Coturnix japonica: one gene and its partners. The protein of the gene in region 3 interacts with the protein of the main gene of each other region in a pairwise test. Links are inferred from orthologs where the notes say so. Each region holds a gene or a part of one and is shown on either strand. Other genes may lie near its edges.

Region 1 (3,746 bases), about 49 Mb from region 3:
CCCAGGCTCTCCACCTCACAGCTCCTGGCCTCTGCTGCCCCATCCTTCCAACCTAAGAGAGACAACAGGCTGTGCCTCCGGAGCTGAGCAACCAACAAAGCCACAACTGAGGCAGCACAACCAACACCTACCTACCCGCTGAGCCATTCCTGCAACTACAGAACTGTTGTGTGAGGAAACATCTTGAACTACAGAACGGCAATTCTTCTCCTCCAGCGTGTACAGTGGGGACATGATAAAACACCACTGCATTGTAATACTGAGAAGCGTTAACAGTTTCTGGAAGAATCAGATACTTTCATGGTATTCTGGAAACACCCACTGCTATTTATCAGAGCACACGAGTTCTGCAGTTAACTGCACCCAGCTCTCTTGCTTGGAGGTTCTGGAGTTCCTAAGAAGCCTTTTCAACTGGGTATTTCTGCCTCAGACCACAGCTTCAGCACTGAGTTGAGCCAGCAGCACCACTGAGCAGCATAACACCCCTCTGCATCGCCAGCTTCTCCGCAAGGCGTTCACACACTGCCATTGTGAGCGCTCCGGGTTCAGCACCAGCGCATCACAAAGGGCTTGAATTAGCCCTGAGAAGCCTGGGATCCAGCCGGCAGGTGCTCACAGGGATGGGAGCTGCCGGCACGACCGCGTACCTCCCTCCTGCCCGGTGTCGCTGATGGCAGAAACGCTTCGTCCCACCTGAGCGGAGCGTCGGGCAGCTCCTGAGCGGGCACCGGGCAGCGCCCGGCTCTCCCGCACCGACGGCAGGTCCAGGCGTGCTGGGAGCGTCCCGTTATTGGAGCGTCCGTGTCTCCACGCCCAGGAGCACCGCGTACCCGCTCACCTCGTGAAGTTTGTCCGCTTTCTGCGTTTGTTTCTTCCGACTTCTCTGTGCGGCGACTCGGTTCTTTTCTCTCCTCCTCACCTTCTTATCATCTTCTTCGTGGCTCTGGAAGGCAGAAGCAGCTCTCTAGGCATCAAGGTGCGGGCGGGCACACCGAGCCGCCGCCGGCAGCCAGCACGTAACCTCGGCAGAGCCCCCCGGCCGCCCCGCCGTGCCCTTCCCGACCCCTGCCCGTCCCTCCCCTACCTGCTGGCCGCCCTCTGCGCTCCGCGGCACCGCGCTGCCCGCGGCCGGGGCGCCGCACGACATCCCGCCGGCTGCCGCCCGCCCCGGGGCGCCGCGCTCGGCCCCGCGGCACGGAGCCGTCCCCCGCCCCGCCCCGGCACCTGGGGGCCTCCGCCGCGGCCCCCGGGGCGGAGCCGCCGGGAGCTCACGTGGCGCTCGCGGGGTCCGCGCCCCGGCCCGACCGGCCCCCGGCAGCCGGGGGGAAGCCCGCGGCCCCCGTGGCACGGCGCTGCCGGGCAGGAGCCGCCCAAAAATCCCCCGGAGAACCCCGGGGCTGGCCGCGCCCGCCGCCCCTCCGATGGTTCAAACGCCATCGTGGCCCGAGCGCTGCCTCCGAGGGGCTTTTTGCGAAACCCGCGAGGATGCCGCGCAAAAGCCGCCCGAGGGCTGCGCGGCTGACTCACCCCCGCGCACTCCTGGCCGCGGAACACGTGCGACATCGGCTTTCCAAAGCGGCACGACCTGCGGAGAATGGGCAGGAGCGCAAGGCGGGGTTCATTGGAGTGAGGACGAGGCATCTGGGCTGGGATAAAGTGATTTTCACTTTCGCTACTCGCCCGGTTCCTTTAAATAATAAGGAAATGCCGCACGTTTCTTGTAAGGGCGAAGCAAGACAATGAGCGCAGAACACGTAGTTGCCGGGACAGAAGTCTCCCTGTTGGAGCGCTCTGCCCGGAATGTTTTAGCAGCCCGAACAATGCTGCTTTTATCCTTCTGAACGCTCTTCCTACGTCGCAACTGAAGCGTATCTTCTCCCTGTGCTCTGAAGGAAGTGAATTGCTGTGTGCCCCCGCAGATACCCACAGACATCCTTTCTACAGCACCACATATTCGCGACTCACGGGGACAACGCACGTCCATGCTAAGGAACGTGCCCCTGAGCTGCTGTGCAGTCGGTCATCAACCCCAGGTATCTTCATAAATCGGCCACTTCCCTATTCTTCTCGTTTCACCCGAAGTCTGAGTCATTCAGCTTAGGTGAAGATGAAGTTGCAGGCTGCGAATGGAGTAAATATAGATCATCCTTCCAGGAAGATCTGGTTGACAGTTCACGCTGATGAAAGAAACATCGCCTTGCCTGGAGCCCACGAGTCAGACTGAGGTCAGCATCGCTGAAAGCCGGACCAGGGCTGCTCTGCAGGGCAACGCTTCACCCCACTGTGCCTCAGAGCTCCTCCTGCATTGCCTTCACCTTTCCCAGAGCTCCTTGAATCCCAGAGGACTGAGCCTCAGAGGCCTTTTCAGAGAGAGTTGGCAGATCCAATGCAGTCATAGGATGCACGTGAGGTCAAGGCATTTTGGCAAGGGTCTATTGAGCCAAAGGGTCTATTGGGGCTGTTGGTCTTTGTGGCCCTCAGCATGGGGAAGGCTTGCAGATTTGTGTCTGGAGAAGAAAAACAGCCCTTCCTACAAGTAGGGCTTCAGAATGACTCCACACAAAGCGCTCATGCTGTTACAGGAGCCATACACACGCGCCCTAGAAGCAGCTGCACAAGCAGGTGATGTAACAGAGCTAAGTCACAACGAGTTTTCCAAGAATTTATTGATATGTGTAAATTATTGGTAAGAATTCCTCCTGTATTTGTAAGGTGAGGAGGTTTACAGGACCCCGCAAGGAGTGACAGGTCACAGGGAGGTCCCCTTGGGCCTGGGTACAATCTGCTGGTGCTCAAAGTGGTAAAGGAAATGAAAAAAAAAACAAAATTTGCTTGTGGGAACAAGTCTTTAAAGCTATCTCCTGTGCTTCTGTAGAAATGCCTACACAGTAGTTCCAAGTAACACAGTAGTAAGGGCACAGTACTTCTATGCAGGAGAAAAAATGAGCTCCGAATGCAGTCTAGGTCGCTGAGCTTACGGTTTATAATCGCAACATATCAGTGACTTCTGTCTGCACCAGAACAGCCCACGCGCCTTCAGACTCAGTTGCTGAACACTTTGGCTTAGCGTGGCTCTTTTAGACACGTGGCGTATGTCACAACTGGGTCCCAGAGCACCACATGCCCGTACTTTCAAACAAACAGATGTTGGTGTCTGCATGAAGATTTCTGGGAGAGGAGTGTTTAAAAACTAAACACAGCTAAAAGCGTGCGGATACAATGCCCATGTGTGATATTTCACTGGGTATGGATGGCTCACCCATGCAAACCTCAGGCAGCACATCCTAAAAAGTGGTAAGATGCTTCATCTCACCCAAAATAACTACAGAACTCAAACTAAGTTTGCAAATATTCCCAAGCATCCTTCGCCATTGAGCTGCCTTACAAAATCCAAAGGCTATATAAAGAAAAATGACCAGACGTTTCTTGATGCAATACCAATTCAGCCCAAGTTAAAAATAAGAAGCTTGGATGTTGTGACATTTCAGTGGAAACCTGAATAGACAGCCTTCTTGCACAACACTGCTCATTTCTATGAAGTTAACTGAAGGACAAGAGGCTACTGGAAGGGGAGGGGGGGGAAAGAAGAGGAATATTTAATGTATTTCTGTTAGTGGAAACACAGATCACAGACACTGCTAATTGGAAATACCACTTGCTGTAGAAATTTTTATTTATCATTGGGAAAGCAGCTGAACGTTCAATGTTCAGCTCTTCACCTTGTTTGGCCAAAAGCAGCCACTAAA
Region 2 (3,746 bases), on a different chromosome or scaffold from region 3:
TATTGTGTCCCGTGTAGAAACAGTTGGTAGCAGAATCTTTAAGAACTTTCCAACTGCTTTTCAGTCTCAAAGGTTTGAGTCAGGTCTGGATCCCTCTTTCCCCATCTTCCATCTGCTTTCAGAGCTCATCTCTTGTTTTTTCTTAGCTAGAGCAGCTGCTGTCACACCAATGCAGTGCTGTGCGCTGAGGCTGGGTTCTAATATGCTTCTCACCAGGGACCAAAGTGCCTCTGCCTCATTTCCCATCCGCTTTGACTTTAAATAGAGGGTCAATGTGAACCCCTCAGCCACACTGATTCATTCAGGGTGCATTCTTGGCAGTCATCCCCACAACAGCAGCTTTCTATGGCTTCTTTATAGCCACCATCCCCATAGAGTTCCCTCTTCTTCCAGAGCCCTGTCCTGGACCAGGAAGCAGCACCCAATGTTCACACTGCCCCGGTAGCTGCTGCTGGGCTGCAGTGGGAGCTGTGGGCTGGGGAGGATGGAAGGGATTTGGGTGGATCTCAGTGTCGTCCTGTTCTACCTTGATGTACACTGAGGTTCCTCCTTAGGAACCCAGAGCGTCTATGTGTGTGGTGCAAGAAAAGCATTTGGGGATCAATGCAGAGAACTCCACAGGTGCTGGCAGTGTCAGTGCGGTGCTGTGTCAGTTGGTACTGGGACAAGGCCGTGTAGGTGTGACGTGGCTGCTGCTCTTTCTGCTCCTTGAATAAACCATTCCTCTATCGGACCCGTGGCGGCTCCTGGTTGTGTTGGGTGGACGCAGCTCCGTGTCCCCGCCGTCCCACAGCCCGGCACTGAGCGCTCACCCGGCCCAGCTCCATTGTCCCCTCAGTCCTGCAGTGGTTGGAGCTGCGGACGCCCCAGAGCCGTGTCTGTACAAATGAGAACTGACGGGGCCGAAGTGGGGCGGTAACAAAGGCCCGACGGCAGCGGAGCTCCCATTGCTGCCCATTACTATCCATTGCTATCCAATGCTGCCCATTACTATCCATTGCTGCCCATTACTATCCATTGCTGCCCATTGCTATCTATTACTGCCCATTGCTATCCATTGCTGCCCATTGCTATCTATTACTGCCCATTGCTATCCATTGCTGCCCATTGCTATCCATCGCGCTTTGCTCGGTGCTGCCGCCCTGCTGGGCTCACACCGCGGCCGTTCCCATCCCCGCGGTCCCTTTAAGTCCCGGTCCCGTTCCATTCCTGGTCCCGCCCCGTTTCCCGCCCTCCCGGCGCGTCCCCTTTAAGGCGCGGGGCGGTTGCGCCGGGCGCTTCATGAATGGAGCCACGTGACCCAAACATCACGTGACGCGTCCGTGAGCGGCGGCGGCTCGCGGTCCCGGTCCCGGTTCGTGCAGCGCGGCCTGCCCGCCCCGCCCCGCCCCGCCCGGTCCAACGGCTCCGTCAGGACGTGACCGCAGCGAGCGCGGCCGGTGAGGGGCGGGCGGCGGCGGCGGCACCGAAGGGAGGAGGCGCGGCGCGGGCGGCGGGCGCGGCCCTGGCACCGGGCGGGGCGAGGCGGGGCGGCGAGGCGCGGCGGCCGGTCCCCGGGGGCGGGGCGGGAGCGGCCGGCGCTGACTCACGGCGGGGGCTCCGTGGCCGCCGGTCACCGCCCGGTTGGCGGCGCGCACGGCCCGGTCCCCGCCGCGGCCGAGCAACAGGTGCGCGGGGCCCCGCCGCTCCGCCCGCCCCGCCCCGCACCGGGTCCGCCCGGCGCTCAGCCCCCGCTCGGTCACACGGTGTCCCGGTGCCCGGTGGAGCTGGCCAGGCCGGAGGCGCAGCGCGGCGCTTCCCGACGGTTCACCCGCCGCGGGGCTCGGGCCGCTCCGCTCCTCCCGGCATCGCCGTGGGGTCACCGGGATCCCGCGGGACGGGCGGCGGCGGAGCCGCTTTAACGGGGGAAAGTGCGGGGTGTGTGAGCGGCGGGACGGGCCGCGTGGGGTCAGGGGAACAAAATAACAACACGGATAAACGGGAACGGGATCCCGCACCGGGGGGGGAGGGGAAGGAGAGCTCCGCGCCACGGCGACGTCACCGTGTTTACAGTGCGCGCGTGGCGAGGCGCCGCGATGGGGAACGGGAGGGAACCGGGAGAGAACGGGGAGAGAACGGGGAAACGGCTCCGCGCCGGGGGGGAATTGGCTGCGGCCGTGCTGAGCTCAGGGCTTTTGAGCGCCGGGCAATGTGTTGAGGCGGCATTTTGTTGCTGCAGTCAAAGCGTTGGGCACTTTGCAGTGCGATCTGCGGGAGCCTCTAAAAAGCCGAGCAATGAACGGGCTGCACAGCCGGGATGAGGCTGGTTCGGTGTGTGCCCCCGGCTCAGCTGCTGCCCCCCTCACACATAACAGCCCCGTGCTGTCCGTGCTCTGCTGTGTCTCTGGAAGGGGATGGAGGGTCCAAACTGGTGCTGCGTTCAGGCACAGCCCCGTCCCAGAGCCGCCCCCAGCACACAACATGCACTGTCCAGTTCCTCGGATACAGACACTGCAGCCTCGTGTCCCACAGCAGCGATGCTGTGGCTCAGGATGGGGAGCACTCCCTGACCCCCATCACAGCTCTGTGTCCCTGCACTCATCCCAGCCGTGTCCCCCCATCAAGCTCCTCTCATTTCTGTTCTCTCTCAGCACAGCAGCCCTGGTTGACCCGTCCTTTAGTGCCTCTATCTGTGCGTTTATCAATTTCTCTCAGCAGAAATGACAGTATGAGGTGCAAGGTGAGCACAGGCTCTGAGCTCAGGGCTGTGTGAGTTTCCTGCCCTGCACCCTGAGCTGCTCTACCTGTGCCCAGCCCCATCCAGTGTTTGTTTTTCCCAGCTCTGCTACAATGAAGGAAGTTTGAGTGTTTCCCGGTAGCAGGGAACCATTCAGCCCTGCAGGCACACATTACTGCAGCCATACTGACCCCAGCGTGCGGTCAGAGGGTTCCTCAGGGCCGGTGTTATGCCTCCCCCCAGTTATTCTCTTCCATCTGCCCCTTTTTCCAGCAGCCATTTTGTTTGTTAGGGTGGGGGGGGGGGGGAGGAAACAGAGCAAAGAAAGAGAAATAACAGCACGGGAAAGCACAGAACTGGTTGCAGGAGGCTGCAGTCTGCATGTGCTCCCCTCAATGCAGCCGCCTCCCTCGGTGGCAAAGTGACCCTTACGGCCACGCTGTCGGGTTGTCACGGCCGTCATGCTGCAAGGAACATTGTCCTCTGGGTATAAATAGCTGCCTCCTGGCAGGCTCCGGCCTTGGGGGAACATCTGAATTGTGCTGGTGTGCTCCGTGTCCTGCAGGACGCTGATCCCGCTCACCTCTAGCAGTCAGCGCCGGGCGCATTGCGGGAGCCTGAGCTGCAGCTGCTGGAGGAGCAGAAAGCCGTATTTGCTGACTGTACAGCTGGGTCTTGGCTGCAGCTCTGCCTCTTACGTCTAGCAAACAAAAGAGCAGCGAACGGAATTGCTGTTGGCTGGCACGGAAGGTACAAAGGTACTCATGGACTGCACCTGCACACAGACAGTGCTGGCCTTGCTGCAGGAAGCAGTGCCGGGCTGTGTGGGACAGACGTGGCTGCTGAGGATTCAGTTTGTTGGGGTGCAGTGGAATTCTGACCCGAGGTGTGAGGGGAGGAGGTGCATAGGGACAGGAGCAGGAGCCCAGGTATGTCTCTGTATGAAGACAGCCCCAGGAGCTGCTGTTATAGACCTGGAATGCTGTCCTCCCTGGCAGTGAAGGAGTCTGCTCCCCTCTGGTTTTGGCCT
Region 3 (3,646 bases):
GATCAACTTGGTTTCGTTCATTGTTTTCACTGGGATGCATCAGTCAGGTCAAATCATATTAAATTCTGCTCTCGCCTCCTCCGTCAGAGATGTGTGACTGTGAGCTCTGCAGCTTTGAAGTCTCTCCTGCAAATGTGTGGAGGCTATTGCTGCATACCCACACCTCAGATGATGCTCTCCTGGCAAAAGTACCAAACGTGGGCAGTTGTAAGGCTGAGGGGCTGTGATGGGGACCCGCCATGGAGGCCAGATCAATACTTAGCTTCAGTCTACAGAGATTGTGCTGACTTCAGTGCTTACCAGTGACCTTTAGAAGCATTTACTATCAGAGTTATTGCTTGGGTAGTTTCAAGTGTTGGCACTTGAGAAATTCCCCCCCAAGGGCAATGAGAAGCACTGGTGCTTGGAAGGAATCCTTCCTCCTCTGGTTCTGTTGGAATGAGGAGAGTTGTGTCACTGAGTAAGATCTCAGCAGCCAGAATGAAGGTACATGCTGGACCAGCATCCTCATCCTCCTACACCTGGGAGGTCTGCAGAGCATTGCAGGGAGGCTAATATATGTGTTCTCGTGCTCCGTCACTAATGCACTCAGCACAGAACAGCTGTAAATCTGTCCTGCTCCTGTTCCATGCTGCCTTATTGGGAGCGAAAGCCTGAGTCAGCACAGAGATGGCCTTGCTCTGGAGTGCTGTGAGTCACCCTCGGGCTCTGCAGCCAGGGGAGGCAGGTGAAACCCTGGCCCTGAACAGAAAATGCTTTTAATTTGCTTTGCAGTCATTCCACCTAGTGGCTAAGGGACACCACAGCCAGGAGAACTGGCTTTGTGCTCCGCAGTCCCTGCTATGCAAAAGGGACCTGAAAACCCCAGCTGGTATTTATGGCTGCTCCTAGGGACCCACACTGCTGCTGAGCTTATGAAATGCATAATAACACTGAAGATCTTATCAAAGAAATGCTGTGAGTAGCTCATTAAGTTTCTGAGCAATTTTGTTAATCATACTGCATAGATAAAATGCAGATAGGCCTTTAGTGAGCTGATAATCTAACAAATAGGCAGAAAGTGTAACACTGATAAGACAGAGATCAGTTTAATAGCCAGCTGTAAATCTAGGCAGTTCTGAACCAGAGGCATATTGTAAGACAGAAATGTGCAAGTGTGTAAGTGTGTGCATGAAAATGTGCTGTTTCTTAAAATAGCAGATAAATAGTGCAGTAATATTATGTAAGGAAGAGCTATTGGGAGCGATTTTAGAAGTGTTTTAAAATATTTTTCTCTCCATCAAAGTCTACACCATTTGTGGTGTCTTCATAATCCAGCATCACAAGTGCAGATGTGTGAATAACAAAGGCTTGTTTCTGGATGTCAGGATTTTCTGTAAAGATCTGTGAGCCCTACCACTGGTCCTCAGGCAATGTAAGAAATTTATAGGCTTTTCATTTGAATGAACCTAATTATTCACTTAGATTTTTACTGTTTGTGAAATAAGACCATCAGAAATGCATGCCCTGATGCCTCACTGTGCTTTGGAACAGTGGACTCAAAACCATCCTCTGCTGCTCCTCCATGCAGGAGGAAATACAAACTTTTTTGTGGCAGAGCAATTCCCTAACATATTGATTGTGATTTTCAAGCAAGAGAGGCATTGTGATATTCCAGTCTGTATGTGTTTTGCATTAAATAGCATTTAGGAGCAGGCAGTGTAAGCTCGGTGTCTCCCTTCACAGAGTGGCTCTAGCAGTGACTGTGCAGCATCATTCTGACTCTCTGCACTGCTCAGCAGTGTTAATTCTATTGGAAGAAAATTGAGTTGTGGTCTTTCAAGTCTCAACTTAGTGATCCAACTACTGAATCTCCTTCTTGTGGAGATGCTGTTATCCTTGGTTGTGAGCCCGGGCATGTAGGTATCCTCTCACTGAGTTTTTCAACTATCTGTGTTTCTTTCCTGTTGCAGAAAAAACATATATAAGAAAAGTCTGTGCCAATGCACTGATGGTAGAGAATGAACAATATGTATATATACATGGCTTAGCAAGTTGTTTGCTAAAAGAGCATCTAAAAGAGCTAGAGGGAGAAAGCACATTTTTTATATATGACTTTATGTAAATATAGTGTAGATGGTGTAATGAGAAAAAAAGACAAGTAATGGTGCATAACTAAGACCCATAAACTCGTGGAAACAGTTGTTGCTCTTTCTCTGAAGAAAATGATGGAAAATTATGTACTAAGGTGAGACTTAGAGCGATTTGCATTATTTGAATTATGAGTATGGATTGCTTTCCTGTCAGCTGTACCTTAGAATCACTAAAGTCGGAAACAATATGAGAAGAAACAGAGTCCATAGGATGAAGAAAAGGGCTGTGCAGTCAGCATTTAACTGGTATTTATACTATAGTAGCTTGCAAAAAATACAGGGGAAAAAAAGGGAATTTGTCTGTAAAATTAAATGCTTCCTTTCCAAAATACCTTTGGGGTTTAAATAGCATTTTATGTTTGAAATCATTGTTCACCAGAGCTTCCATCAGGGCAATCATAGTGAAAACAAGATCTATCCAAGAATTAGCAGTTTGCACACTAGTCTGGTTTTTTGATCATTTATTACAGCAGAAGCTTGGTTCGCAGGTCTTTATTTGAGCAACATGATGTAGAGAAGCAAAATAAAAGCATTTGTGTTCATTTCTGGATGCAGAATCACTGCTGACATGACAGAAGAATAATTGGTGCCGTGCAGTATTTATTTCTGAACATTAGATCTGTTAGGTTATCTAACAACATAATGAAGGACTTGGGACTATAGCAAGAGCTGATGGTAATGCTAGCAATTTCCCTCTTTTTTTCTACAGGTCACTGTCAGAGGATTTGGTCCATTGCTACAGTTTGCCTACACTGCTAAGCTGTTACTCAGCAGAGAAAACATCCAGGAGGTCATCCACTGTGCTGAGTTCCTGCGCATGCACAACTTGGAGGACTCCTGCTTCAGCTTCCTTCAGACTCAGCTGCTGAACAACGAAGATGGCCTGTTCCTGTGCAAAAAGGATACCACTTGTCAGCGCATGCATGATGAGGAAAACTCAGATGGAGATGAGGAGGAGACAATGGAATCGGAGACGTCAAAAATATCTTGCCCAAGAGAGAGAATGCACCAGGAGCCCTTCAATTTTGAAACCACCGTTGCTGGCACAGACAAAGGAGAAGGGATTCTGCCCAACTCTGACATGCTGAGAGACAGCAAGGACAATTTGGACAAAGATGCAGTAACACGGTACCCCAGATACAAGAAATACCAGCTTGCTTGTACCAAGAATGTCTACAACACATCACACATCAGTACCTCAGGTTTTGCAAGCACATTCAGTGAAGAGAGTTCTGGAAATGGCCTCAAATCAGGACTTGCTATGGGGCAGATAAAAAGTGAGCCTCAGAATGAAGAGAATGATGAAGAAAGCATCACGCTTTGCCTGTCTGGAGATGAACCTGACATCAGGGATAAAGAAGGGGATGTTGAAATGGACAGGAAGCAGCCAAGCCCCACTTGCATCGACAGGCCAAAAAGTGGGTCTTCTCCTTCTTGCTTGCGGTCTTTCTTCAACAGAACAAAAAGCATAGATTTGGTTGGCTTCCCCAGCACTTCCCAACAGCACTTTGGCA

Evidence for each region.
Region 1: the proteins of BACH2 (region 3) and BATF3 interact in binary tests that used the Homo sapiens proteins (3 or more experiments, as listed by UniProt). The link is inferred for Coturnix japonica from reciprocal best matches to the Homo sapiens genes BACH2 and BATF3.
Region 2: the proteins of BACH2 (region 3) and MAFG interact in binary tests that used the Homo sapiens proteins (3 or more experiments, as listed by UniProt). The link is inferred for Coturnix japonica from reciprocal best matches to the Homo sapiens genes BACH2 and MAFG.

What each region holds. Positions count from the first base shown.
Region 1 is NC_029518.1:19,237,181-19,240,926, reverse strand, and holds the start of BATF3 (basic leucine zipper transcriptional factor ATF-like 3), read right to left. Parts: upstream 2,206-3,746; 5' UTR 1,642-2,205; coding exon 1,528-1,641; intron 1,179-1,527; exon of another isoform or gene 1,148-1,178; coding exon of another isoform or gene 1,085-1,147; intron 944-1,084; coding exon 839-943; intron 1-838. UniProt on the Homo sapiens protein: AP-1 family transcription factor that controls the differentiation of CD8(+) thymic conventional dendritic cells in the immune system.
Region 2 is NC_029533.1:4,419,715-4,423,460, forward strand, and holds the start of MAFG (transcription factor MafG), read left to right. Parts: upstream 1-1,280; 5' UTR 1,281-1,439; intron 1,440-1,648; exon of another isoform or gene 1,649-1,667; intron 1,668-3,041; exon of another isoform or gene 3,042-3,474; intron 3,475-3,499; exon of another isoform or gene 3,500-3,645; intron 3,646-3,670; exon of another isoform or gene 3,671-3,746. UniProt on the Homo sapiens protein: Since they lack a putative transactivation domain, the small Mafs behave as transcriptional repressors when they dimerize among themselves.
Region 3 is NC_029518.1:68,692,657-68,696,302, forward strand, and holds part of BACH2 (transcription regulator protein BACH2), read left to right. Parts: intron 1-2,841; coding exon 2,842-3,646. UniProt on the Homo sapiens protein: Transcriptional regulator that acts as a repressor or activator. Binds to Maf recognition elements (MARE). Plays an important role in coordinating transcription activation and repression by MAFK.